4 linked regions of the Oreochromis niloticus genome follow. The protein of the gene in region 4 interacts with the protein of the main gene of each other region in a pairwise test. Links are inferred from orthologs where the notes say so. Each region holds a gene or a part of one and is shown on either strand. Other genes may lie near its edges.

Region 1 (7,052 bases), on a different chromosome or scaffold from region 4:
TCCAGGCACTGAACACAATACCAGTGACACTGGTTAGCACTTAAACTGCTGCTTGCCGAAAAGAGAGTTCCCCTTAATGCTAAATGATTTTTAGAGCAAAGGTTTTTATAACTATGACCAAAAGTCACACCGCAGTACTATTTAGCAAGAGGCACAGATATAATTTAGATATAAAATGAAATGACCAAAATCTGTATTGTGTTTGAGGTGCTTTTTAAATTCTAAACAGTCTTTTGCTCTTACGTTGGTATGAGCCAGAGATGCCAGATTGCGTGAGGCAGCGCTGCAGCTCATCTGCTGAGATCTGTCCATCCTGTCGGGGTTTTATAAAAACACGGCAAAGTGGGATACACAACATGGTTAAGTAACTAACAGCTACTTTACAAAGGTTTAAAGAAGCATGAATGGTCACTACATCAACAGTTCATCACGTCCAAAATTAGTGAAGTGATTTGAGACTGACTTTTGTGCGAGTCTCTTACCTGACCCGCAACAGCTGAAAAATAACCATAGAGAGGATCTTGTTGCTGAAAGTTAGAAAGAAAGAAATTAAAGTCAGCGAGATTTAACTGATTCTTCATATTATTCTGTATTTGTAGATACACTTGGCTACTTGTCATTGAGTTCCATAGAACTCTATGTCCTGCTATGTAAATAACAAACTATACTTTATACAAATTTTACTATTTAAAAAAAGTCTCAATATAAATAAACATATTATTTTATGGAGGTAATTTCCTAAATGCTTTTAAATGAAAACCTTTAAATGAAAATAGATGATTTAGATATTTCACGAAAACAACAGGATCCTGAAGGATATCAATATAATATACTAATAATAGTATACTATACTAGTGTATAATAATACACATATAATAGACATTATCTGTCTGTTCATGGGCTTTTTTACCCACCAACTCCTCCTAAACACTTATTTATTTTAAGTTATTAGTTAAGGAACCAAATATGACACTTTTTAGCCTTTAGCATTAAGGTTATATATAAAGGGCTTTATCAGTTAGTATGACATCATCATGTTGCCTAACAATGGACTAAAATGTTTTTAGCAAAGGAATTTTAGCATAAAGGCAGGTGTGGCTCAGGTGAAGTGGATGGTCTAGCGATCGGAAGGTTGTTGGATTGTTCCTGGCTCCTCTAGTCCATGTGTTGAAAAATCTTGGGGTAATACCCCGAAATGCCCTCAATGCATTGGAGTGTGACTGTGTTAGATAAAAGTGCTGTTTGAATGTGTGTCTGTCAACCAACAGTTCAATCATCTAATTACTTCAGCTGTAAAAGTGACACACCTAACAGGAGTTAGGTTATGTAGGTTACCAACCTCCAGTTTCAGTCATTTTAAATCAGCAGGCAAAATCAATCATGACTGGGTGAAAAGCTTTCTATCAGATCTCCTGAGAGAAACTAAAATGTAACCACAGGGTTTATAAACCAAAACCCATCTAGCTGATCATTTCACAATCCTGTTTGCCACTTAAAAGGCTTGAAATGATTCAGTGTATTTTCTAATTTGCGTGGCTGCTTTCTGAGGCCTCATTGAAGAAGATGTGCCATCCTTCTCCAGCACCATTATTTCTGTCATTAACAGACACTGTAATCTAAATAACAGATGTATAGATAAATATAAGCTGCACAACACATCTGGATGCAATCATTACAAGAGACTGTCAAAGGGTTTGAAGTCCAAATTTGTTATATAATTAGTATAATTATTAGTATAATTCTAACTGCTTTCAACTACACTGTGAACAAACTGCTATCTGCTCTGATGAGGTGTGGCAGCTTCAGATGTGCTATGGTTAGGATTTTAGAAACAATAATCAGGTTAAAATATGATCCACTATGAGCTTATTAAATCCTATTTGATGCTACTTAAAGTAAAATGTGATAATATAAGAATCATGGGTATTTGGGTGATTAACACTGTTGCCTCACAACAAGAACATCCTGAGTTTGACTCCACCACCTGGTGAGGGGCTTTCTGTGTGGGGTTTGCATGTTCTCTCCGTGTTTGCATGTTTTTTTTCCGATTTCCTCCCCACAACCCAGAGACATCCAGTTAGTGGGGTTACGTCAAATGGTTAATATAAATTTGCTAATAGGTGTGAATGTGAGTGCGAATGGTTGCCGGCTACTACCCGGACAGGCTGCCGACCTGTCCGGGTAGTAGCCCGCCTCTCGCCTTTGGTACCTGGGATAGGCTCCAGCCCCCCGCGACCCTCATAAGGATAAGCGGAAGCGAATAGATGGCTGTGTATTTGCAACAAAAATGCCTACATCATCTTATACTCTAAGTACCTTTTAAGTAAAAACACCACTTTTGCTTGACTGCGGAATGCATCCTTTATGCAGTCATTAGTTAGTACGAATCTAAAACACACAAATACTGCTCGAGTTTCATTTTAAAGCCGAAAAAATTCTTTAAGATACTTTGAAACCAAATATATTGTCAAAATGTTTGCATGTTATTTCAAATGGAAACCTTTATGTAAAGACGGAATTTCTCTCAAACCGTCCAACTTCCGGACTGGTTGGAAAAGATGCCCATCCCGGGACGAAGGTCGGTTGACGGATTATGACTGTAAAACCGTTTCATCACAATTTAGCGGTTTCTTACCATTCCTGGAAATCCACCGGGGCCAGCGCCGTATCCGGGAAAAGCCATCTTATTCCTGATGCAAAACGAAATAAACGTAAGAATAGTAACGACTCAGAGCAAAACAAATCTAGCGACTGAGGGCGTGTCTGGTGATGTTCGCAGGAAAACACCGAGAAGTGAGGTTATAAAGTGCCGTGAAGTACAATGAAGCACAGATCTAAATGTGAACTTACCTGATATAAAAAGTACGACCTCGGTGAATAAAACTGTGAAGCCTCGGAGGGGCAAATGTCCACTTTCCTCAGTGCGAGCCACCACATTAAGTTCTGATTGGTAGGGAGAGGACATGTGACCTCTAATTGACCAATATGAGCAAGAGGGCTGGCTGTAAAAGTGAAACCATTCTGCAGTAAATTAATGGATTAAAAAATGTACATCATAATCAGTCAATACTTCAGTTTTAAAGCGGTTAACCACCATCCTCGAATTATTTCTAATCATAATTTTCCGGTAAAAGCCTTTAGTCACATTTTACTATCCATGAGCTGCTGTACAAAGCTTTTACGTACATAATATTGCACATTTTATGATGCAAAGTGTCGTGATCTTTGTATTATTTCTGGTTATGTTGTTATTATTCTCTTTCTTCTTTTGTCTGTTTTTGAATGTTGATTGCTGGGGTTTTGTTGTTATTCACACTTCTTGTTTTGCCAGTGGTTTCCTCTCTGCGACTGACTCCTGTGGTCGCCTCTGTCTGCATCTCTTTGTATGTGTTAGTTTCATTCTGGCCCCTCATTCAGTTCACATATTGTTAAATTTTAAAGCTTAAATCGTCATGGATTTTTCTGTGTTGTTATTAATACCATGTTTTGTTATTTCCCCACCCTCCCTAAGGGTTTTCTCGTTTCTCTTTTTTGTCTCCTCTGTCCTCTGGTCTCATGCTCATGACCCAGAATCAATCATTGAGCTCTGTTTACCAAAATCTTGATTCCTTAAATGCATCTGGAGGACAGAGGAGCAGGAAGAGATATTAAACGGGGGGAAAAAAAATAGGAATGAGGAGTGAGAGAAATTAAGTTTAGTTTATCCCCCTGCCCTCCTAGTGTGCTTGCTTTCTTTGTTTTCTGGATTTATCTTTTAGCTTAGCTGACATGATTTGTTTTTGTCTGTTTGTTTTGCAGTACTTTGTTCATGAGATCGAAGTGTTTGCATCAGTAAGTATCCTCAAGACCACAAATGAATCAGGAGAAATGTATTGATAGAAAAAGTTGTTAATGGTTTATAAAGTATAAAGCTACCATGATAATGCCCTGGAGATTTTAAATTCCACTTTAAATTGCTTAAGACATACAGAATGATGTTTTTTTTTCTTTTTACTTATAGTTTTTCCTGTGATAAATCCTTATAATCTTTCCTTATCTTGGCCCTTCCTTAACGATAACCACTTAAGTACAAATAAATTCTCAGATGTTACTATTTAAAAAATGACTGGATCTGCCAAAAAGAAATAATTTTATTCCTGAAAGCTAGGTACAAAACTAAGAAGTTGATTTTATTTATTCATTTATTTATGCTTTGGCTATTGCAGACACAGTGATTAAAATACAGGACTGATCCTTTAATCTAAGGCATTACATCAGAGGCAGAAACAAACAGCCCAATCAGCTTCTTCTCTCAAGGGGCTCATACAGTCATTTCCTCTGCTTCCACCTCCAGTCCAGAGAAAACCCAATCAGAGGCTCCATCGTTTGTTTAGGAGGCAGAAAGGCAATCTGTTTCACCGCTTTAACCACACGCGTCAGTGGACGGTGCTGAAGTTAGAGCTGGGATGCACAGACTTAGTCATGAATGCTGGATTTGGTCACCCAGACCTTCTCTGTGTCTTCATCCTCAGCACTCAGGGAGCCTTCTTTCTGTCATGGTGAGCCACCAAGAAGAAGAGGAGGAGGATAAAGAAACAGGAGAACTTCCAGCTGTATGTTGCTATAGTACAGGTAGGTCTGAGATGTCAGGTTTTTGCAGCTGTAAATGCAGCAGGACAGGTTAAAAATGGGAAACATAACAAAAAAGTAGGCACTAAAAAGTGCATAAAAAGCATATCTAATTATTAAATGACATCATACAGAACCTTACTCATTGAGAGCAAATCTACATGGAATGTATGACAAACATAATATTTTTTAAAAAGAAAAAAAAGAAAAAATAGAAAATGCATGTGTGTTCAGTTGATCACAATGCCATTTAAAAAACTGAACGATATCACACATACTGTCTGGCCTAGACTAATAAAAGGGATGTCCTGTTGTGTTTAGATATATGAACTGATAATAAAATAATAGAAATATCAGTAAGGATCCAAATCATCATTGTGTAGGTTTATTTCCCAAGAGGAGAGCTAAACAAGTACACATGCTCAATTTTTTTTCTGTCCTTAGCTGCCACATTATGTAACAAAAGTCACATTTAAATCCAAGTAGATCCCAAATCACTTATTGCTGAAGAATGAGTTTGCAAAGACTTACTGTTGGTAGTGTGACTGCTTTCACCACTGGAGTAAATGGTATAAATTACAAATCTTAACAAATTTAATCCTATTTAATGTTGTTTTTTTGTTTGTGAAACCCCACACTCCCTGCTATTTCTGTATATTTGTTGTGTGTGTATGTGTGTGTGGGAATGTGTGCCAGTATACTGATGACTGCTGATGGTTTTAGTCCAAACCCAGCAGGTCTAATCAGCAGGTGGAGGAAACAGATGGTTCAGACATATGATTCAGCCATGACGTGTAACTCTAAGCCACCCCCTGCATTAATCAGCCATGGATATTTTGGTTGTTGTTTAGTGTAATGTATAGCTCGACCTCAGCCACTTATTGGTCAAGTTAACTTTGTATCTCACATATATTTCTTCAGGATGTGATGACGTTATCAGTCAGTCTGCTGTTGCTCAGTGGTCCATATACGAGCCTCAGGTCCACTCAGGGATCCCCAGCAGCACAGGCCTGTGTCAGCATGACGTGGGTGCTCCTTTGCAGCAAATAACAGTGGTTGAAGCTGAGCAAGGAGATGTATTCCAGCATTTCATGGGTTGTCAGTGCTGGGGAGGTCCAGGGATGGAAACCCAGAGATGTGTTTATAGACAGAGGGAACCAGATGTTTTGGGTCACTGCTCATCAGGATCTCCATTTATCTACTGTGGAGGTGAGACTACACCTAGTTTCTAGGGTCTTTTCTTTAATGATATCCTTTCCTTTACCTTAGCAATTGTGGCATTCAATGTACTGAACTAAGATGTTCCATTGGGGTGTTTAAAGCTGAGATTGCTGTTGTCATTCAGCCAACACACACATATATTTATGCAGGCATCCAATTGATACATATCAAAAATGTTCTTGTATTTGATTCAAGCTGTGAGGAGGAACGTGATCGTTGGAGTGGAGGTTGTAGAGGAGGTTGCAGTTGAAGACACTCTGGAAGTAATGTAAGTATTTAAGAATTATTATATCATGTACCAACATCATTACAGCAAATAAAGTAACTGTTTCTATATTATTTTGCACAACTAACACTTGTACACCTCATAACATTTTTGTCTAACACATAAATACAGCGCAGTTTGTACAAACATACTACATGTTGTTAAAAAAGTTGGTTGCTTGTCTTTCTCTTCCCACAGAACAGAAGATATTTATGCAGATGATCTGCTGGATCCAGATACGTCACAAGAAAACCAGCCGTACCCCACATGAAGCCGGAGTGCCTTTCAGTGTTTCTCAGTTTCACTGTACGCTCTGTAAACTAAATTTAATGCACAGACAGACGACAAATTTAAATAAAATGCAGTTGTATGTATGATGAAGACGCGGGGCTGAATAGCTTCCCTGGTGTTAACATGTCTCCAGAGCTTAGGGAGTCAATGCCATTCTTCTAAGAAATGCCATCATTTGGTGTTATATGATGATAGTAACAAATGCAATAGAAGATGTCCCATATGTGTTGATTTGGGTTAAAATTTCATCACTTTTCACCACTTACGTCATATGACTGAAGTAATTCTTATGTTTATTAAACGGTACAGTGACAGAGTGACACCTCACACCCAATTAAAGTCATACAAAGCACTAACCCGTTAAAACGATCGCCAATGGGACAGAAATATTATATCATACCATAGAAATGAGCACTTGGAGAACAATTTTCCATCAGTGTGAAGTGAGTATACCCAAGGGCACAAGAAGAATCAAACTATGCTGCACAGTTCTAAAATCCACTGCATTATGACTGTGTGGTTTAGAGTTATGTATTTATCAGATATGTTTGTATTCTATATGAGTCCTTGGCTTTGATACTTATGTATACAAAAAAAAGTTACAACTAATTTCTGAATTGCTGTTATTTTAATAATATAATATAATATAATATAATATAATATAATA
Region 2 (7,018 bases), on a different chromosome or scaffold from region 4:
TACAAATGTTGAGACCAGAAAGCTATTCTCAGATTCCTCTGCTAAAAGTGTGCAGTTTTTAAGGTGGAACGTCATACAGCTGCTGATGAAGCCAGTCGGAAAGTCAGAGGGGGAGTTTGCATTGCTCAGTGGGTCAGTGATACATGTGTGAACATGACTTTTATACTTTTGAAACAAAAGATTATTGCATAATTTTAAATTCTGAGGGAGAAAGCTTATATGTTGGTGTAGGGAAACAATGAACCTATACTAAGTTCAGAGTTAGTTATAGTTCAAAGTAGTATTGAATTAATTACTCACTGGCCACCACCAGACTTAAAGCCACGGAGATGAGTGGCAACAGGCCACCATAGATGAAAACTGCCCCCTCTTTAACGAGGCAGTGTTCATACCTGTCAAAGTCTACCTCTCGTGCTGCGCACACGTGGTCAACGCGGCAGTCGCTGTCACAATCCCTCAGGTCATAGTTCACAGAGTTGAAATCATAGTACTTCTGCAGGTAGCGGGGGTCATCAGCTACACGCTTCAGAACCTCGTGCATGGAGGCTGGAGAGGCATCTGGTACTCTGAAACTCTCTGTGAGGCGATACTCTTTCTCCCAGCGTCCTGTGGCTACATTAGCATGAGTAAGGTTCAGGTAATAGGTCACCACATCCTGCGTGAGAGAAAGCATATGGTTTAAACACAGAAAGCAGAACATTAGAAGCATTACAAGATATTTCTGAAGGTTTTATAATTTTTTAAAATACAAATATATATTTATATAAGTTGCGTAAGAGCCTAATAATACTATTGCTACTTTTGACTGCCCCGTTGCCACGAGGAGCGTTTCACGTTTGATTTAGCAGTTGATGATTTGAGTTTTACACCGGATGGTCTTTCTGGAGCTAGAGTAAAAGGGGATTTTTGTATCTGGGTGATAATGAACTAGCAACCGTTCCCTTGTGTTAACCACTACACCACTAGAGGAACATAAATGTCTAATGAAAATTGTAAAGGCCAAAACTTGCCTTGACTACCAGTGTTTCTGTGTCATATTCAAAGACACGAATCCCAGGATTGTTCGCTCCATCCTTAACTCCAGGAAGTGTTGTTTCCCACGGTGTGACACCAGGGCTGAGGAACATGGTACTAATGGGAGAACCTGTAGAAACGGACAAGATATCAGCTCTATCAGTATTAGTGTGTGTTAATGTTAACGCTGGATATTGGAGACGCATTCCAGCTAAGTGATAAACAGGTAATACAAATACAAGGTGAAATGAGTACTATTACTGCAGTGTGGCTTACCCTCTGTGTTGTAGAACATACGGAAGCTATCAGTGTGATGATGGCCAAAGAACTGCCCTTTTATTACAGAATGATGCTTCTCAATTAAATCCAAATATCGCCGGTTGAACTTTGGTGTAAACCATGGCTTACTTCTTTTCTTCTCGAAGAAACCTGGAGGAACGTGGCCAATGATGTAAACCTGATAAACCAAACAATACAGAGTTAACTAAAATCCAATCAGGACCAAGTCTCTTTTTTGGAGGGGCAATTGCTTATACAGGATTGTATTCATTACAAACTACATCTTTTATTGAGCTCTAGTCCCTAACATCCAAACATCCATGAACAAGATGAGATGCTTTGCCTTCTCTTTGTTGTTGGCCGCCTCTGTAAGAATCTGATCTGACCAACTAAACTGGTCCGCTGGGTCATCCATGTTCTTGGTCAGCTTGTTCTGATCATAGTAGAGATTGGTGTTAAGGACCAGCATCCTGAAACCAGTCTGATTCATGAGCTTTTCTGTGTAGTATCCACCTGTGCAAGAGGAACATTGCAGAAAATGTCTGTTCAAAATTTTCCTGTGCATCATAAACTGATGTATTCATTCTTTGGAAAGTCATTACACATATATTTGTAACTATTAGAGAAAGCCATCTTCACCTTTTTTAAATGTTTCTTTTGACTTTGGATCCAACCAGCCCTGCCACATTTCTGCTATTCGGTCATACATGGAGTTTGGGGCTGCAGGAAGCTGACTCTTTGGGTGGTAATCATGGTTCCCCAGGGCTGAGTACACTTTAGTGTCTAAACAAGACAATAATGTATAAAAGACATTATTTATTAGAAGTAGCCAACACTTATACACTGTCGTATGCGTTGACCTTGCATGTTTCCACCCGATTTTGTACTTACTTGGAAAAACTTGATTTATGATGTCAGTGAGGTTGCCGATAATGCTGAGCACTGCCTCTTCTCCCAGATCTTTATCATCAACATGTGGAGTGTCATCACTGAGAAGTAACACAGCAGATTGTTTCAGGATTAATTGCAGTCAAACATTATGTCGATACCAAATACCAATCTGAAAATATCATGACTGTAAAGGCAGACAAGCATTTCTTTCCCCAGATATAGTCTTGAGACTAGCACTGTCCTGCAAAATTCATTTAAAAAAAAAGTAACATACCCAGTCCATACGATGAAGTCCGGGTTTGGTAGAATATTCTTCATTGCATAAACAGAAGAGTTGATCAGGTGCCATGGCGAGTCACAAACATAGTGTCCAAATTTACCAGCATTGGCTGCAGGTCGTTTGCCACTGGATGCGCACACCAGTGCAGGATTGTTGTTGCTCAGTTCGTACGTTGGGTCCCAGTGGAGATCCGTGATGTGCCAAAAGTTCCCTGTGTAAGAACGATGCGTAATAGCACCTAGTAAGTTACCCCGAGATTAAGATATATACTTGATTTATCTGGTGCTTACCTGAGAGCGCAAAAGCCTCTTTAAAAAGAAAGCAAGACAGAAGCAGCCTTACTGCCGACATGTCGAAGCCTTTGAGAGGAAGAAACATCCGACAAAAATCAAGACCTGATTTAAAAGGTATGCCGTAAGTCTATAAAGGCGAAATCACGATAAGATACGGCTGGTCATGACGCGTCTGAGGCTTGAAGGTGTTTGGATCCCTATGTGCAGGTGATACTTCGCTATCAGTAATGAAGTTCAACCGTCACCCTGTGATGCAAGACTACGTTTTAGCCTGCATACAATAAAATAAAATAAAATAAATAAAAATAAGTTTCAGAATAAATTTAAAGACAATAAAAAGCTTCAGCTGAGAAAACCTCTATACACACATCTGTGAAGCTATTTAGGAGTCGAATTCCTGCTTGTAGACTACGCCTAGACTATTTTTATGTGGACTAAATTTAAATTTAGTAGACCTTCTTTTACCTTATTTGGGCATGCGCTGTTTAAGAATCCAATAAATATACATACATTCATAGCACAAATAGGAGTATATATAGACACATTATATTAAAACACATCTACGTGCGAATGTTTTCGCGGTTACAGTGTAATATTTCACTAAATACAAAAAGGATTTTATGCATGGTGCCCTCGCGTGATACTCGTATTCCCCAAAATCGACACTGTTATAACTGTGGAGAATCTGTTTCTCAAGCTGATGATGCAAATAAAAAATTGTTTGCTTTGTTTTGCTTTTGTGATTATTATTATTTGTTTCGCTTATTTCTTTTTACAGTAAAGGGGCATTTGGGGGAAAAGCGTAGTTAATCATCGTTGGAACTTTTGCAATGTCTGTCTGTTTTTGATAAACACAGCTATGCGTTTGCAAATGTTCTTTGGAAATGATTTTTGCAAAGCCTCAAAACCGCGCGTGAGCACGTAGTTCTTCGGGAAGTTCATGAAAGCAAACCTAGGACTCTTTCAAAATCATTCCCTGATGTTTCTCTTTCAGGCAGACGTAACTCCCAGGCTACGGACTGCTTCATTAAGTAATATAGCAAATAATGATAATAATAGTAATAATAATAATAATACTAATGTTAGCACATGTTAAACAGTGGTTTGGGTCCAGAGTTTGTGCTTTTGCATTGGTCAGTCTTGGCGCTAGAAGGGGAACGATAGCCTGACAAGCAAAACTTAGGGCTGAATTACTTCATCTTTAAGCTCTGCGTCATCATAGATTTCGCGGGAGTTCCGCTGTGCGCCTGCGCTGTACATTGAAGCTTGCGCGCGGGATTAAACGAGGAAGAGGATCACAGAAATACGTTTGGCTACAGATATTACTGCACGGTGTAAATAACATTTTACGCCTTACTTTAATAAGTTATACAAACAGCGGAAGCATGTGGAATCAGGGTGAGTTGTATTTCGATACCGTTGTGTTTATAAATAGCCATATGGGCTCGGTGACGCTGTGTTGTTTCGGTCCACGTTAGCTTGACTACAGACGTCTTTGTTATTGTGTGTTGAATGTGAGTGTAGGTGGGTCAAATGAAGATCATATCGAATAAACGATTTCACTGACACAGTTGTTTACCTCTTTATACATTTTCAGGAGGGTACAGTGAATCCAGTATGGCTGGGGGCTACACTCAGTCTCCAGGAGGATTTGCATCACCTGCCTTATCCCAGGGGGGAGAGAAAAAGGGGGTCTGTACTTATATCTAAACTTAAAAGTCGGTATAATTCACTAAAGACTTGACACAGACATAAATCTGTAAATATAGTGCTGAAAACCAGCAACAACATACCTTCATTTGCCAAATGACATATCCCCTCTTTGTACACATGTTGACTTCTGTGATAGAAGCACAAATTGACAGGTCTCTGCTGCACGACAGTTAACCCATTTGTGTTTGGGTGTATATCTTTGCAGAGAACACGTGCCAACCAAATAATCCCCTGCACAGTGTCTCAGCTAATGTCTGCTTCCCAAGCCGATGAGTCATTCAGAGTAGGAGATGTGGATGTTGCCCAGGTGAGCCAAACCATTCAGTTAGTTCTCTAACCAGTTACTTTTTCAGCACTTAAAATCATTAGTTTGTTACTCTGTAATACAGTTTTTTTTTTTTTACTTCTGCAGTTGAACAACAGCAACTTTCCACTCCCTTTTGAGTACAAGTTACTTTTGTTTACAGAAATTATGTAAATGTGCATATATGTCGATTGTACTTTTTTGTCCTTTTAAATGTTTAAAATAAACATCTATCTAACAGTCAGACCAAATGCAGAATTTTAAATCATTTTATGTTACAACATTTTGCAGCATGGACGTAATAACTATTCTAATATTTCCAGATTTGATAATAATTGTGGTCTGTGTCATAGGTCACCATTGTGGGGGTCATCAGAAGCACAGATAAATCCATGACCAACATCCAGTACAAGGTTGATGACATGACAGGTGCTCCCATGGATGTGAAGCAGTGGGTAGACACAGAGGTAAGTATCCACCATCACAACTCTGCTGCAAGCTCAGTCTGTATTGAAACATGAGGTAATTAAATCAAATCAAATCACTTTTATTGTCACATCACATGTGCAGGTACACTGGTACAGTACATGCAAGTGAAATTCTTGTGTGCAAGCTTCACAAGCAACAGAGGTGTGCAAAAATACAATAACATAAGAACAAGCAAAATATAAGAATGGGTAAATCTGAGAATTAAATGAATAAATATATGTACAATATAAGAGTGTATGCGCATTGCTGAATGTGTATACTAAATATGTATATCTAGGTGTGTGTGTGTGTGTGTGTGTGTGTATTTATATATATACATATTTTTAAAAATTAAATAGAATAAACAATAAAATAAAATATACAGAGGTTGGCAGTTGGAAATGTGCAAAACAAGTGGCATTTATATACAGTATGGAGTGCATAATGTTGAAGCTCTGGTAAGTGAAGGTGAGGTGTCTATGAAGTGTTCAGCAGTCTGATGGCCTGATGGAAAAAGCTGTCTCTCAGTCTGCTGGTACGGGACCAGATACTGCAGAACCTCCTTCCTGATGGAAGTAGTCTGAACAGTTTATGGCTGGGGTGACTGGAGTCCTTGATGATCCTCCCCGCTTTCCTCAGGCACCGCTTCCTGTAGATGTCCTGGAGGGAGGGAAGCTCACCTCCAATTATCCGTTCAGAACACCGCACTACTCTCTGGAGAGCTTTGCGGTTGTAAGCGGTGCTGTTGCCATACCAGGTGGTGATGCATCCAGTGAGGATGCTCCCAATGGCACAGCGACAACAGACAATATGTATAAAATGTATAAAAACTCTATTACATAGTGAGAAAACTACTAAACTATAATATCTGTTTAGTATTGCATTTCTCTGAGTAGATGGCTAAAAGGAAAGGGCAGTAGTACCTCAATGCCAATCTCCTGTTCTAAAATCTTAAGGAAAATTAGCTGGAATTGTATGAAAAGGATCAAGTATGTGCTTTTTATTTATACAGGACCAAAGTGTGGACAGCACTGTCCTTCCCCCAGGAACTTATGTCAAAGTGTCTGGAAATCTGCGCTCTTTTCAGGTGAGTTTAATATTTGCCACCTATGACCGCTTATTAGTTTAAAAGTGTGGTTGCTATCAGGCCCCAGCCCATTCCGTCCACCGTCCACTCCATCCACCGTCTACTACAGGGGTGTCCAACTCCAGGCCTCAGGATGTGTCCTCCAGAGAGGACATATCCTGCAGGTTTTAGATGTGTCCTTGATCCTACACAGCTGATTTAAATGGTTAAATTGCCTCCTCAGCATGTCTTGAAGTTCTCCAGAGGCCTGGTAATGAAATAAATCCTTTGATTCAGGTGTGTTGACCAAGGGTCATATCTAAAACCTGCAGGACACCGGCACTTGAGGCCCTGCTCTACCAGCTTACTTGGTGGTTGGGTTGATGTTGTGGCGTTTTTCAAAGTCAATCAGCTGCTTCCCGCAGTCAGACTGATTCCTCCCCCCCCTCAACCACAAACAGACTGTGAATCAATTGGAAATGGTTAATTTAAAGTAAATGCTAATGACATTTCCACAGTACCCAGAATCAAATAGGAACTTATGACTTGCATCATGATTTCATCGAAAGGCTACATGACAGTGTAAAATTTTTAAGCGGCTGTGTGATTTCTCAATCATACAAACATTTTTGACAATCTCATATTTAATTTTGTTCACATTTAAACATTTATTAACCTTTTTTTGTGTGTGTGTGACATGTATCTAACAT
Region 3 (6,950 bases), on a different chromosome or scaffold from region 4:
AAGTGCTATTACAGTGAATTCCACAAATTAAGCTACAATATAGCTGAACCAGTGGTGTGTTATGTCTGCAGTACAAAGAGCATAATATGGGAAAATAGTACAAGGAAAACTGAAGCTCAACTAAAACTCATGAACATCCTGGAGGTACAGCAAAGGGGCCTGTTCAATACATCGGGGGAGCTCAATTGTTCCTTGTTTATTGACAATCACTTTGTCTTTTTATGGCAAATGTAGCAGCAAGACCTTCTCTCAGTCGATGTGTGACAGAGGATAAAAAAGGTTCCCACACTGAGAGGAAGTCAAAGAGGGGCCACTTCTGATGCGGAGGGGGATCAAAATTGAGGAAAGTGCGTGCGTGTGAATGTGCGTGGTCTAGGTATTACTCATCTTGTGGGGACCACAATCAAAAAGGGACAAAAAGTATGCGTGTGAGTGGATGTGTGTCTGTCTGTGTATCTAAATAAATAAAACCTATGGTAAGATTTGAAACAGCACTAGCTTGCCGCACAGAAATCATTGTATAGCTTTTCTGAAAACACCCCCACCCCCACCCCCACGAACACACAATTATAAAACACGCACATTTGCAGTCACACGCAGCGCACACTCACATTAATAATGGGAGTTGAAAGTATCTATTGGCAGCATGTATACTTTTGGCACAGAGGTGGTCAGAAGTGCATTTACTAAAGGAGACCCACGCTCCCTTTCTTTCCCACTGTTGTTCAGGTTATCCTGTGGGGCCACTTATGACCCTTCTGCAGGCAGGATGCAATGTCTGGGGACCCCAACAGAGCTGTACACGAGCATCCGCCAAGCCCTGGGAAGAAAACAAGGGCTGATGGAAAACTAGAAGAAAGGAGTATAAAGAGAAACGGCAGTTAGTAACCAGGACGCACTCAATAACACTCACCATGCACCTGCAGCCTGTGTGTGTGTGTTTGCGTAAATGTGTGTACATGTGTGTACAGTGAAGCAAGGTTGTTCCTTCAGTGAACTACAGCATAGCACAATCCCCACACACAGCACAGGTGGTCCAAACAAAAACCTGTGAAGTGTTGCCCAGAGAGTAATATCCCCACGTTGTGTGTTGTATAAACCCCCCCATAGGAAACAAACACTTCCGGTGTTGTAAGATTTATTGTTTGGTGCACTTATAGGTTACAGTATACTGTGACTGATATCTTCCTTATACGGTTCTTTGATTTATTCTCAATATTTAATAGCAATTTAGCATGCACGTGAGACATGAAAGGGTCATAATTACTGCTAGATAACTCAAGGACATATTGTTTTGTGTTTATTGTCTCACTCTGAAGAAGAGGGGTGAATTCCCTTGGCAGTGCATTGTGTGGTGAGAAAAGGAAAGACCTGGTTAACTGTTTTGTATGGTGTGAAAAACCAAAGCATTGTTGTACTGACCGCACACCATCTTGCTAAATTTTTGCCCCAGATAAGTCACGATTTGCATTCGATTTCACATCTGCACACCTCCACCTGCACCACATACAACACAGAGGAATCCACAACGGTTCAACACTATGCTTCTATATGTGATGTCATTGTAAGGGTCATATATACATAGAAATGCCAAGAATTAGTCAGAAATGGTTACACAACTTTGAACTGACCTACTGTAAGGACAGTCTGGGATTAGAATAAGTCTGGTTACACCCTCTAGTGTCAACACTGGGGAACATCGGGAAGCAATTTCTCATTTTGAATAGTGCTATAAACAACAATAGTATCAGTACCATTAAAAGTAAGCTAACTAACATGAGATCAAATTATGGCCACATTTCTTGCCCTGTAACCATTTTATATACAAGCAGAAAGATGTCTTAACTTTTTGCTTGACTCACTAACCTAAAGTGTATCTTTATTAAGTATTTGGTGGTATTGCATTGAGAAGTCATTATAAGCAACGCACAGTCATGTGAAAAACAACATTGTCACAACACTCATTTCATACGTTGCAATATTTGTGTGAAAAACTAAAAACGCCCAATGATTCAGTAGCTTATAGCAGTGACCTGAAGTAACCACTTTCTGTATGACTGCATCAGTCTGTCACTGTCCACTCTACTCTATAACACTATTTTTTTAAGGCATTTGTTTATGCACAGCTCTCTTAAGGTCCTGTAACAGCATTTGAGATCTGGACTTTGACTGGGTCACTGAAACATCTTGATTTTTTCAGACATACTCTTGTAGGTTTGCTGCTGTGCATTGTCCACCGATTATTGTACACGATCCAGTTTCAGCCAAACTTTAGCTGTTGGACGGATGACCTCACATTTGACTCTAAAAAACTTTGGTTTAACGCCGAGTTCATGGTGGAGTCGATACCTGCAAGGTACCCTGTGGCTGCAAAACAAGCCCAAATTATCAACCCGTCAACCGCCATACGAGACACTGGTATGAGGCGTTTGTGATGACATGCTGTGCTTGGTTTTGGTTTGTTTGGCGAAAGCATCATGGCCAAACATGTTCATTCTGGTCTTGTTGGTTGAAAAGACAGTATTTAAGAAGTCTAGGTTTATTCAGATTCATCTTTTCAAGCCTAAAATGCTCATTTTAGAGAGAAGAGGGTTTCCCCTTGGTGACCTTTTCAAACCAGCCATACTTATTCAGTCGTTTTCTAAACATACTGCACTGAATGAGGCTTTTAGAGTCTCAGATGTAGCTCTTTGGTTACCTTTACCTTCGTTATTGCTATGGAAGCAGTATGAGTGTTGTTTGTTTTTTACAGTACTGCACAGAGTGCTATAAAAACATTTTCATATGACTATATTTAACTACTTTTGGGTTTCCTGTGTAATAGAACTTATTGCATACAGCCTTAATAATGAAAAAGTATCAGTAAATGGGAATTGTGAAATCTTGCTCTGTTATTACATGGAAACAGACTTAAACTGAGTGCATGTTTTGGGATATACACCTTCACACTTTACTGTTTTCTGTGGTCATCAGGCAATATAGGCAAAAGAAGAGCTGCAAGGCCCTCATTTGTTGCTATTGTTACTGCAATAAAAATATTAATTAACACAATAGTAATCAGTTATTGACATTAAAACTTGCATAAAATTTATAAAGGGGTATATTACCAGGGTGGTTGCACATCCCACTAGTAGCTGAACACTCCCTCTTGTGGCTGGAATTGTGTATTGTTTTACAGTATTACTGTAAACATGTTTCTTGACACTGAAAGGTAAAGATATGAGTAGCAGAGGCCAGCAGAGGAACTGAAATGTGTGTCATGGAAACCATGCCCTGTTTCTTTATCTTGCATCTTATACACTTGAGCAGACAACACTCCACCACACCTACATTTAACACCAATCACCCAGACACACAATACAACACAGTGCAGACACTTCTTTTTTTCCATTGCATTGTCGATTTGATACCAAAGGTCATTTGCATTTTTTAAAAAAAGATCACAGGCACAATTTTTGCAAATCATTGACCGCATCTACACATTCTGAAGTAAAACAAGCTCTACTGATAGCTAACCTAAAGTCCTTCTTGACCAATAACTTTGAGGACCATACATTTGTGAGTTTTAATACTTAAAGATGACATACAGTTATCAGTTGTGTTCACTGACTAATTGCAGGACTGGGGCGGGGTAACTACTGCAAGTGAAATTTAATCAGAAGATTATTTTTGCACTCTGTAGGTAGATCATCTGCCTGAGAATCAAGGGAGAAATGTAAGAGACCAGACAAAAGAGCAAACTGCTGTCTGTTTCCAGTAAACTGAATGTAACCCCAAAGGGGAGGTCCTGGTCTTCACTGTTAGAGAGAGAGAGAGCGAGAGCAAGAGAGAGAGAGAGAAATTAGAGCAGAGCAAAAGAGAGAGAGAAACTTTCCAAACCAAAATGAGTGAGTGAGAGTGACACACTGACAAGCACTCAGTTTTCAATGAGGAAATTGAAGACATTTTGCATCTGGAGTACTTCTGAAGACACGAGCCAAAGACAAGCTAAAGGTATTTATCTGCTGAATGAATATATTACATTATAGAGCAGTGACAGGCATTGAGAATTTCTAGATATTGTAAGGTAATGGTGAACATAATAGTGTAAGTAATATTTTATTTAAATAATGGTGTACAATGTTGGTAAAACACATCAAAAATTAAACAAAACATAACGCGTAACGTGGATGATCAAATATGTGCGATAAATAATTGGCAAAAGTATCAAGGCTAATTATTATTATGAATTTTCATTTCAATTATCACTTTTTTCCGCGTGAAATCCATAAGTCAGCGGTTTGTGTAAAGCCTCCCTACAGGCATGCATTTCATGACATATTGTTATTACACACCACTGAATATTAAAGCACTGCTCTTGCTGTTTTAGGGGTAATTTTCCATTTTAAGACGTAATTAAACCATCGATATTGATAATACGGTACTTACACATACAGTCTAAAGCATACACAACACTCTACACTACTCTGCTACATCATTATTTTATCAGTGTTGTATATTTGCATGTGCAGTCATTATCTTTAGCTTTTGTAATACACATTACATCAACTATATTTGACTTTGTGATCTAAAAAACACTTTTAAGTTTTAACATTAACACCTCATAAAACTTGCTTCAGACAAACAGCAGTTCTTTTTTAACACCATCGCTTGGTTTGGTATCATTTCTACACCAGTGTGTTTTTAGCTATTTTTAGCCGTTTTCTTTTCCTCTATTTTTAACTGAAACTTGACAATGAAGCCCCATCATAAACTGTACATGCTAATGCAATGGTAAAGAGCTGTAAACACATTTTCACTTCCTCTTTTGAGAGCCAGTTTTTGTTTTTTGTTTTCTTGTTTCAATTTTATTATTTTTTTGGGTCACCTGTTACCAAGCAATACATCTAAAGAGATGCTCACTAAATACATTTTTAGCAATTTTGAGTCATTAGATGTCGTTTTCCAGCACCGGGCATGAAGTCAAAGAGCAGGCCCTGCAGTGGGAGGAGTGGAGACTAAAAACAGCAGCAGGAAAGCTCATCTGTTTGATCAGGTAAAAGCAAAGTATTGAGCACATTGTAGCTATGTGAGTGTCTTTCCATAAACTTGTTGAATCATTGTTTACTGATACCACACTAAACAGTGCATTCTGTAATTAGATATGTTATTTTAGTAAATGTTAGCATCATGTAACATAGCTAAAAGAGATTTCCACGAAACATGCAGGATGGGCTGCACTTGCAGTGGCGAGAAACAAGTAAAAGAAGAAGGATTCTACAAAGGAAAACACAAATCACACGCCTCCCCGTCATCAAACCATATAGTAAGTAAAACACTAAAAAGATTTACTCAGATGTGAAACAAATTTTACTCTAATTACCTCAAAAGGTTTACTTGACAAACTGGACATAATCAACGTCTTCTTTTTTTCTCTCCATTCTTTCAAGGGACGAAGTGGAAACGCCTATACAAATAATGGTAATCACAAACCTCCTTGCATAAATCAAACATCATAGTAGAAAGTAACAGGCCTGCATTCATGGACCCAACTGCTGCTGCGTTAAGAGACATTAGTGGCAGTAATAAGAGCTACAGTTTTGCGATCGAAATCTCGGTTGAATTTCCTCTGTTCTCTTCTGGGGATTAGATGAGATTGCAAATACATGAAAGTAATGTTAATGTCACAGATGTAAAATAACACAGCGGTTGCTCGGAGAAGGAAAACAATATCACCACAAATTGCGCATGTTAGAACACAGGATCATGTCAAAATAAAACGTCTAAGAGTAAAAAGCAGATTAAAAATACACTTTTAAAGAAACTCTGTGCTCTTCTTCCCTTTAGATGACACTATATTTATTGCACAACACGACTTCAAAGCGACCAACGACAGTGATCTGCCTTTCAGAAAGGGAGACAAACTTAAAGTATTGCAAGAGTAAGTCTCATTCTATGGTTCCCACAGTTGTGAAAGTGACAATAAAGAAAGCGCACAGAGAAATAAAATGAATGCGACGTGTTTGTCTGATGTACAGAACCGGAGAATGGTGGCTGGCCCGACTGCTGACGACTGGACAAGAAGGCTTGATACCATCGAATTATGTAGCCAGAGCAGATACACTGGAAGTGGAAAAGTAAGCTTGAAATATTATGGAATGAAATGTAGCACGCATCTATTGATTGATTAATGTTGTTGTAATGCTTTGTATTATTATATTCAGGAAGAGTGACTTCTATGGTTTTGTGGTGCTCTCTCTTGCAGATGGTTTTTCAAGGATTTGGGCAGAAGAGAAACCGAGAGGCTACTTTTAGCACCCGGAAATAAACCAGGGGCCTTTCTAATTCGAGAGAGTGAGACCTGTAAAGGTGACCACCATCAGTATCTTTCCGTGATCATGCCACAAATCACATTTTTAGCAGCTACCTGTATTCATTTTCAGTGTGGTCAATAAACCCAAATGTCCCTTTTTCCCCTCTCAGGGTCATTCTCGCTGTCAGTCAGAGATTATGAAGGGGAAAGAGGAGATGTAGTAAAACATTACAAAATCCGTTGTCTGGACAAAGGTGGCTACTACATCTCCCCTTCCAACACGTTCTCGACCCTACAGGAATTGGTTCAATACTATACCCGTAAGTAACAACTACAAATACAACATCTCCACCCTCAAAAAGTTTGTATTTTCAGAGATGTATAATTTAAGAAACCATATCTATGCACAGGATTTTCTGTTTCTGTGTTTCCAATTCAGCATTTATAATTGTAAATCCTGCATCTTGCATTGATTTGGACTCAGGTTAAGCTTGCTGCTTTGAATTATAAAACATCTGCAGTGACTTTGAATTAAAGGGGGAAGTTCGACCCTTGTGATGTGTTGTGCATTTCCTGAGTGAGAGGAGTGATAGTCTTTCCACTCCTGCGACTAAACCACAAGATAAGCAGGCCAGATCTTGAGAAAGGTTGTCTCAAA
Region 4 (7,433 bases):
AACCCTAGATGTCAGACTGTGAACATCCTAAATATTCCTAAATATCTATGTTTGTCTCATGAATAACTGATTTTTTTAATGTGTATCTACAAAGTCAGTGACTATAGTGATGGTGCACTGAGGTGTGGTTCAGCAGGGTGGGACGACTGATCCCTCTATCAGTAACTGACAGTTGGGGGAATCACATTTCTATCATAGTACTGCTCCTCCCTTTGTGGATATCTGGAATGACACTGACAGTGTCCTGCCAAACAACATGGAAATGTGGTCTACTTTGTTGACAGGTGTAAAATTAAAAATTTTAAAAAAAAACAGAAAACCTTCTCATAATGCTTTGATTTAAGGTTTTGTTTTTGTTTTTTTGTAACTTGTAGGAGGGTATTCAAATAGATGCACATCCAAGTGGTTTGACAGGGTGATACCTTCCTGTGTAGCTTTGCATAGAACAAATACAATGGTCCTCCTTCTGGCCTTACCTATACAGCAATTTCTGTCCATCTCTGAAACTGCTGCACTTTGCATTATGTGCTAAACCGAAACTATTCTAACCACTAAGTATTTCCAGTGAAATTTAACCACCAGTCTCTATTCTGCATTTTATTATCAACACTTTTCCCGACCAAACACAAGTTGAAATTGTCTACTGAGAGATTTAACTGAAGATTAATTCTTCAAAAGTGGGTTCAGACTTTTATATAGAAATGATATGTAAGTGGCAGGAAATAAACCTGTGGTTAGATGAACAAATTGTGAGCTTCAGTTTCATTATGACTAAAGTTGCAGATAATATACGGTTCCTTTCAAGTCCCATAGTTTTACTAGAGTTTAAAGACATACCATATAATAATTACTGTAAATATGCCAGGCTACATTCTTTTATTTTTCATAACTGAAAATTTAAAACCATTTTGTTTGCACAATAATCAGCATATAAGTGACACCACTAGATGGCACTCCACACCAGCTGCAAACAGTGACATGTTTACACTGACTACTTGATGATGCATGACTCTGCAGAGTTTCAGGCTGATATTTGCAATTCCAATGCACACCTTAAGCCCATTAGCTTAATTTTGTATAGGTGGTACATTTGAAAACATATTGAAACACATGCTATTTTTACATTAATCATATAATGCAATTATTGAAACATCATGTCCACTGAAATTTTTGTAAAAGTGGTTGAAAAGCTTGTTTAACTCAGTCTCGCTCACTCTGCTATGGTGGCTTAATGCTCTTCTCTCTTTCTTATCCTTCCTATTTTGTCCCTTAGGACCAAGTGAAGCCACCAAAGGCATCCAAATCCAAGACAGCAGAGGCAGTAGAAAGTAAAACAGCGGAGGGTCTTGAGCAAATCCCTGAAGAGGGACAGGAGGGACTCCGAGACAATCTTAATTCAGATGAAGAGGTGGTGATTGAAGAGGAGCTCATAGAGACTCGTACAAGGCGCCTCCAACGCACCACAAAAGAGCAAGTCGATAACATAAAGAAAGCCTTCTCCAAAGAGAAAATTGAGAAGACCAAACTAAAAACCAAGGAAAACTTGGAGAAGACCAAGCAGAGAACCCGTGAAAACTTGGAGAAGACAAGACAGAGAACCCGTGACAACCTGGAGAAAACCAAGCACAGTCTTGAGAAGAAGATCGGCAAGCTCGGGACCCGCATGACCCCCAACCAGGAGCGCAGGGCAAAGATAAAGAGTTCCAAAGAGAAGATGAAGAAGTCACTCACCCCTGACCACAAGATGTATGCTCGTTCCAAGACCTCCGTGTACCGCGTTCCCCCTTTTACCTTCCATGTTAAGAAGATCCGGGAAGGGGAGGAGGAGGTGGTGCTGAACACGGAGATGGTGGAAGTGAGCGAGGCCGAGGTTCAGCCAGAGGGAGAGGAGAACGGGATGGGTGTGCACGTGGAGGTGGAGGAAGGGGAGCTTGTCAGTGTAGACAGCCCTGAAATGGATACTCTGTTGGAGGTGACTGAAGACTCTGACCTGGTCAGGGTGGATACAGACCACCTAAAGAAAGCCCAAAGTGAATAGAGTCTCATAGCTCCACAGGGCTGTGAAAGCAATTATATAAAGATGAAGAAGGAAACAGAATATTGACGAATGAATATAATCACAAAGACACAGTAGGGACTTTATAGATGATTACAATCTATGACATCTTATTTGTTTTCTGTTCTCTTTGTATTCTTCCCAACAGGGATAACTTTCATATTTGTTCATATTTAGCACTCAAATAATGGAAAAAAAGACAAACCCGGAATTATGTTACAGGCTGACTGGATATGCTACACTTAGAAATTAGAGTATTTGTTGTTTGTTGTTGGTTTGATTAATTGTGTGGCTAAAAGAAAAACAAAAAAAAATATTGTGATTAAGAGACAATATTTAGTGTGGCATTCGCCTTAACAAATATGGGAAAATGAAGTTTTTGGCAAGGTTTTTGTTGTAATGGACGGGTGAAGTGATGTGAATGTGTAAAGAAAAATAAATGTAAAAGTTGTAGACGGATTCTTCTACAGAAGAATTAACAAGTGAAGAAAAGATCTGTTGCACTGGACTTACACTAAGGCGTTTAACTAAACTGTGCTCCATATTTCGTAAGATTACAAACATTTTCCCAAATGTTACAATACAGTGTTTCTCATTGTTAAGCACTTAAGTGTGAATGGCTGGAAATAGATGTGCAATTTCTATTAATATATACTAGGAACCATGAACCTGTGACAAATTCAACTATCACAATGTTTAAATGCATAACACCACACTAAAAAGCAAAATATACTGTTGTGTATGTGGGGCAGTAAAATTTTCAGCTCAATTTTCAGCTTTCATTCAAATTAAAAAAGGAAAAACTGAATGAAAACGTTAATAAGATTCGGAATGTAACTTTTGCTATAGTATAAACAGTGTTTAATGAGGATACAACGTTTGGCGTGTCTGAACACGTTCTCACTAAGCTGCACATATTGCACTGCTGCACAAAGGGGAGGAAAAAAAGATAGTATCGCCATGGTCACAGCTCATCACAGTACATTTTCATGCCCATTAAAATTTCTCAAAGTAATTACAGACAGAAAAAAAGATGGTCTAAAGAGATGTGAGATGACAGTTTAATGACTGCTGTATGTAATATGGAGAAGCTGAACTATTACAGGAACATCCAAAGCAAAAAACTATGAAAATCTGGTCGTAAATTATACAATTTGGTTGGCATATGATGGAGAAAACAGCCAAGCAGTAATGAATGTAAACTGGTATGGCAATGCGCAGTCAGTCTTCTGATTTTGTAAGGCCGAGCATATCGCTCTCCAGACAAAAACAAGGTGAATGTATGTCTTCCATTTTGCCTCCCTGGAGACTTGAATGACCTTGATGTGGTGCAGACACACACACAGAGGCCTACTGTGTAGCATCGACCACCATTAAAGTAATCAATGGGCGGGGAAATACAATTAAGGAGAGTGCTCGGTCAGAGAACTGCACAAACCAGAGAACATTGAGAAAGACAAAGGGGATATGTGTCTGCGTGTCTATGTGAGGGAGGGAGAGACTAATAAATGGTGACAGTATGCGCATGTCACGTACCCAAGCATGAAGCTGAAATCACACAAAACAATAAAGAAATCAGCTGTGGGCCTGTAAAATCACATGGGCATGTTAGTTTCATAGCATTAGCCTTTTGTTTATTTTATGTTATTTTTTGTAATTTTTTTTGGCAAAGACAACCTTTACTTTATCCATAATACTCGCTGGTTCCTTTAGAAGAAATGTGTGTTTTTGTCACCCTGTTTATTTTGTCTTGTTTTAAGCTGCTGGTTATTCAGAAAATGAGCTTCAACACTCCTGCAACCTTATGTGACATAATATTACTCTTGGTGTTACTGATTTATATTCAAATAATGACGCTTGACTGATTATGTTGTGTTTAAGGCTTTTTATGCCTAACAAATTCAATATAAATAAACGCCTTACTAAATAATATGTAGTGCCTGGCATCATTCTTACGAACCTGGCTGATAATGTTGTCTTGTTTGTCAGTTCATAAGTTTATTTGTGTTCCTTCACCTACCGTGACCAGAGGGTCGAATTATGACTAAAGGTAAATAATGAAGCGCTCTAGTGTTATTAAACTCTCGATGACGTCGGCACTGCCGGTAATTCAGATGACTTCTAGGCTGGCTGTTCCGTGAAAATGTTTGTCCCCCCTCCGGTGCTACCCAGCTTAAACGTCTACTCTGTGGCTTACCCGGGGGGAGGGTGTTCAGAGCAGAACAGCGCAGTTGCGACAGCGGTACAGCGGACCTCCTCAACCAACCTCAAGCTAGTGTCCCGCCTTCTTTGCTTATAAGCTGCATTGTGATTGGCGACAGCAGAGTTGCAGACCACTATTGGCGGCTGGAAATGTCAGTAAAATAGTTTAAGGAGTTTGGCTGGCTGGAAAGTCTGCAATGTAGGGGATGGGTTGACTGATAGATCCGTACTTGCGACGAAGAAGCGTTTCTCGTGTTGGGAAGAGAATATAAAGACTTACGGGGTTTTTTCGAGCGCTTTCCGTCGTTTTTGTGGGTAAAATCTTTACGAAAGTTGCCACTGACCGTTATCGTCAGTGTGTTTTATGAGAAGGGTTACTGTTTTGGCGGAGAAACTTTCTAAATAAGTGGCATCGAGCCAGGTAAGCAAATATAAATCGACTTCTGCTTTTGGTGTAAATTCTTTATTTTTAACGTAATGTTAATGCACGTCTACTTCTAATATCGATAACGCTGCTGGGGTACACTTGCAGTACTTTATAGGTTCTTAGTTATTCACGTTGGAGAAACCCCCTCTGCTCACAGTGATACATCATTTATTAAAGTGGTAATAACGTTTTTAAGTGTGTTACAGTTCTGCTCGTTTCTTGTAAAATGTATATTACAGACGTAATATTTAAGAGTTTTTGTGTTTGTGTGCTCTATTTTACTCGTCTACTCTCTAACGCCTCGTTTAATAATGGCAGTACATCTGATATGCTTTAAAAAGGGAAGGTGGGCTTTAACGGGATGCCCCTTTGGACCGAGGAAAATTCAGTTCAGTCCTTTCTGTTTTCTTTAAGCTGTCACGCCCATCACCATGCCATCAGTTGGACAGCACACCCACTACCTAGCCTTATGATTCAAGGCTTGCATTCAATAAATTAGGCTTTAATTGGGGACAGTGAGTTAGCAGATTATTAACTTTTGGAGAGTTTTGAATATGGACGCACATCATAATCAATCAGTATTTTATTTATTTATTTTTGCCTAATAACACATGTAGTTGTACTATTGTTTTCATCCACTGCCAGTGAAGGTTGACATGCTTACTGTTTCTCGTTGTTGTCTCAAGGAAGTGCTTCCTTGAATATCATAGGTATGAGTTTTAATGAATGGCACTTTGCTTTACCGTTTGTGCCACCTACTTCCGAGCATAGGGCAGTGGACAAGCTGGGTAGACAGGTTTATTTATGATAACTAATTCTGAGTTGTGGATTTTAATTTGAGAGCTTTAGATTTAGTTTTTAAAGCTCAGACATTGATAGAGGTGTGAAAAGAAAAGGAACACAAAATGTGTGAGACCTAAGCAAAATTTCTAAGTTATGCAACCAACAGATGGGTTGTTTAGACTTTATGGATTCCTTTCATCTGACATAAACAAGCTGCTGTTCTAAAGTTACTCTTGATTAAAAATACAACACAACTATTTCTGTAACAGTACACGTATAATTCTGCAGAGATCTCACAGAAGGGCTTAGTAAGTGTCAGAATAGTCCAGCCATTTCAGGAGAAACGGGATAAGTAGCTTACACAATAAACGTACAACTGTGCCTAAGGGTCATGGAGAACACTTGAAATACTGTTTTGTTTTTTAATTGAGCTGATAATGACTTGGCTATTCTTTGATTTGATTCTCCCAGGTCTTTTACATGCCCAGAAATCTACACCATGCATGAATGCATCTTTTTCATATGTTGTAGAAAGAGGAACATGGGTCTATGGGATATGGGACAGTTAGTTATGTGGCTTCACTGCTTAAAATAGCCACGCAATATTAGTGAGGGTATTAGTGGTTTTGTTTTTTGGGGTTTTTTACCGAAACTAGTGGCTTGCCTTGAACACTGATTTCAGTGAATGTTGGAAAATCCACTTTCTGTTGGTGTTTTAAAATGATGCTTTTGAGAAGGCATTATGTTACTTTGCACTCACCTCCATGTGTATGAATATGGAGCCTACATAGCGTTGATTTGAATAATGCTAATACCTAGACAGATGGAAATTCAGGTCCCGTGTTTTAACCTATTCAGATATGAACAGCACTATTTCAGTGGTATGCTTTCTGTCAGCAGAAGAAAATCTTTACATTTGGAAACAGAAAGTGAAGTTTTGTTTTTTGTCAAGTACATTTCTGTGTCAGCAGATACCAAGCATGAAAGCTTTGTTAAACGTCTCTGCCTATATTTTAAGTTGAACTTTAAGTGTATTAGAGAACACAGTATACACATTCAGTGGAAGGATGTTACTGCAACACTATCCAACATGTTATGTAAGGATTAAACAAAGGAAATGGCTTCCTTTTGGATTTATTGAATGTCTGGTTATTGTTAGTGTACAGTAGAAAATTCTTCAGGGAATGGTGTACCCTTTAGGTGAAAACATGAGAAGGCTAGCAGAACATCTCAAGTGGATCTGATGGAAAAGTTATAGTTACATAACCTAGATAAGAGTTATATCTGATATCAAGTGATTGAAAATAAATGAAAGACTATTACTCAAATTGCAAAGTACAGAAAGTGCAGTGAGATACCTTCGAGGCAAAGTTACCACCAAAGATCATTAACTCCTGTCTGCTCAGGGAGTCGACAGCTGTTCATGTTGGCCTAAATTTCTTGGTGGAGGCGTAGTGTTTCAGTGAACAGGAAGTGACTGTACTGAATAGGAAGCCTCTCATGGGCTTGTCATCGTTTTCAGAGAAAACTTGATATTTAGCTATTTCCCTACAGTTAGTTTTACTGATTCTATCAGGAACTGTGGCAGTATGTATTATCAGTTTGTATTTTTATAGAATTTTTGCAGAATTTATGTTGTCTCACTCATATTTTTTATGTAGGCCAAAGGAGGTGAGTGTCAAGATGGCCCAGTGGAACCAGTTACAGCAGCTGGAGACCAGGTACCTGGAGCAACTCTACCACTTGTACAGTGACAGCTTCCCCATGGAGTTACGACAGTTTCTTGCGCCTTGGATTGAGAGTCAAGACTGGTAAGAAATAATTACATTTCTAGGCTCTGTTGTGAAATTACATTTTAATTCATGTAATTTTCTCTCCCTTTGGATTTGGAGATGGCCACTCATTATGACTTCCAAAATGTTTTTTGGCTTTAACATTTTTTTTTTTTAATTTATTCATTATCAC

The links.
Region 1: the proteins of stat3 (region 4) and sri interact in binary tests that used the Homo sapiens proteins (3 or more experiments, as listed by UniProt). The link is inferred for Oreochromis niloticus from reciprocal best matches to the Homo sapiens genes STAT3 and SRI.
Region 2: the proteins of stat3 (region 4) and rpa2 interact in a two-hybrid assay, tested with the Homo sapiens proteins (2 studies listed by BioGRID and IntAct, with this or other methods). The link is inferred for Oreochromis niloticus from reciprocal best matches to the Homo sapiens genes STAT3 and RPA2.
Region 3: the proteins of stat3 (region 4) and blk interact in binary tests that used the Homo sapiens proteins (3 or more experiments, as listed by UniProt). The link is inferred for Oreochromis niloticus from reciprocal best matches to the Homo sapiens genes STAT3 and BLK.

What each region holds. Positions count from the first base shown.
Region 1 is NC_031976.2:29,809,366-29,816,417, reverse strand, and holds the start of sri (sorcin), read right to left. Parts: upstream 3,004-7,052; 5' UTR 2,851-3,003; intron 2,691-2,850; 5' UTR 2,684-2,690; coding exon 2,636-2,683; intron 528-2,635; coding exon 483-527; intron 314-482; coding exon 244-313; intron 1-243. Other genes in the region: uncharacterized protein LOC100710708, read left to right, coding at 4,446-4,611, 5,530-5,817, 6,025-6,097, 6,293-6,365. UniProt on the Homo sapiens protein: Calcium-binding protein that modulates excitation-contraction coupling in the heart. Contributes to calcium homeostasis in the heart sarcoplasmic reticulum. Modulates the activity of RYR2 calcium channels.
Region 2 is NC_031976.2:26,300,358-26,307,375, reverse strand, and holds the start of rpa2 (replication protein A 32 kDa subunit), read left to right. Parts: upstream 1-3,995; 5' UTR 3,996-4,142; coding exon 4,143-4,155; intron 4,156-4,354; coding exon 4,355-4,449; intron 4,450-4,675; coding exon 4,676-4,777; intron 4,778-5,127; coding exon 5,128-5,241; intron 5,242-6,254; coding exon 6,255-6,329; intron 6,330-7,018. Other genes in the region: smpdl3b (acid sphingomyelinase-like phosphodiesterase 3b), read right to left, coding at 293-655, 1,011-1,144, 1,291-1,471, 1,637-1,806, 1,933-2,076, 2,185-2,282, 2,459-2,675, 2,755-2,842. UniProt on the Homo sapiens protein: As part of the heterotrimeric replication protein A complex (RPA/RP-A), binds and stabilizes single-stranded DNA intermediates that form during DNA replication or upon DNA stress.
Region 3 is NC_031980.2:8,612,232-8,619,181, forward strand, and holds the start of blk (tyrosine-protein kinase Blk), read left to right. Parts: upstream 1-3,930; 5' UTR 3,931-3,993; intron 3,994-4,948; 5' UTR 4,949-5,035; intron 5,036-5,208; 5' UTR 5,209-5,209; coding exon 5,210-5,305; intron 5,306-5,429; coding exon 5,430-5,460; intron 5,461-5,826; coding exon 5,827-5,920; intron 5,921-6,017; coding exon 6,018-6,116; intron 6,117-6,244; coding exon 6,245-6,348; intron 6,349-6,462; coding exon 6,463-6,612; intron 6,613-6,950. UniProt on the Homo sapiens protein: Non-receptor tyrosine kinase involved in B-lymphocyte development, differentiation and signaling. B-cell receptor (BCR) signaling requires a tight regulation of several protein tyrosine kinases and phosphatases, and associated coreceptors.
Region 4 is NC_031969.2:26,414,308-26,421,740, forward strand, and holds the start of stat3 (signal transducer and activator of transcription 3), read left to right. Parts: upstream 1-4,432; 5' UTR 4,433-4,679; intron 4,680-7,129; 5' UTR 7,130-7,151; coding exon 7,152-7,279; intron 7,280-7,433. Other genes in the region: cavin1a (caveolae-associated protein 1), read left to right, coding at 1,274-2,038. UniProt on the Homo sapiens protein: Signal transducer and transcription activator that mediates cellular responses to interleukins, KITLG/SCF, LEP and other growth factors. Once activated, recruits coactivators, such as NCOA1 or MED1, to the promoter region of the target gene.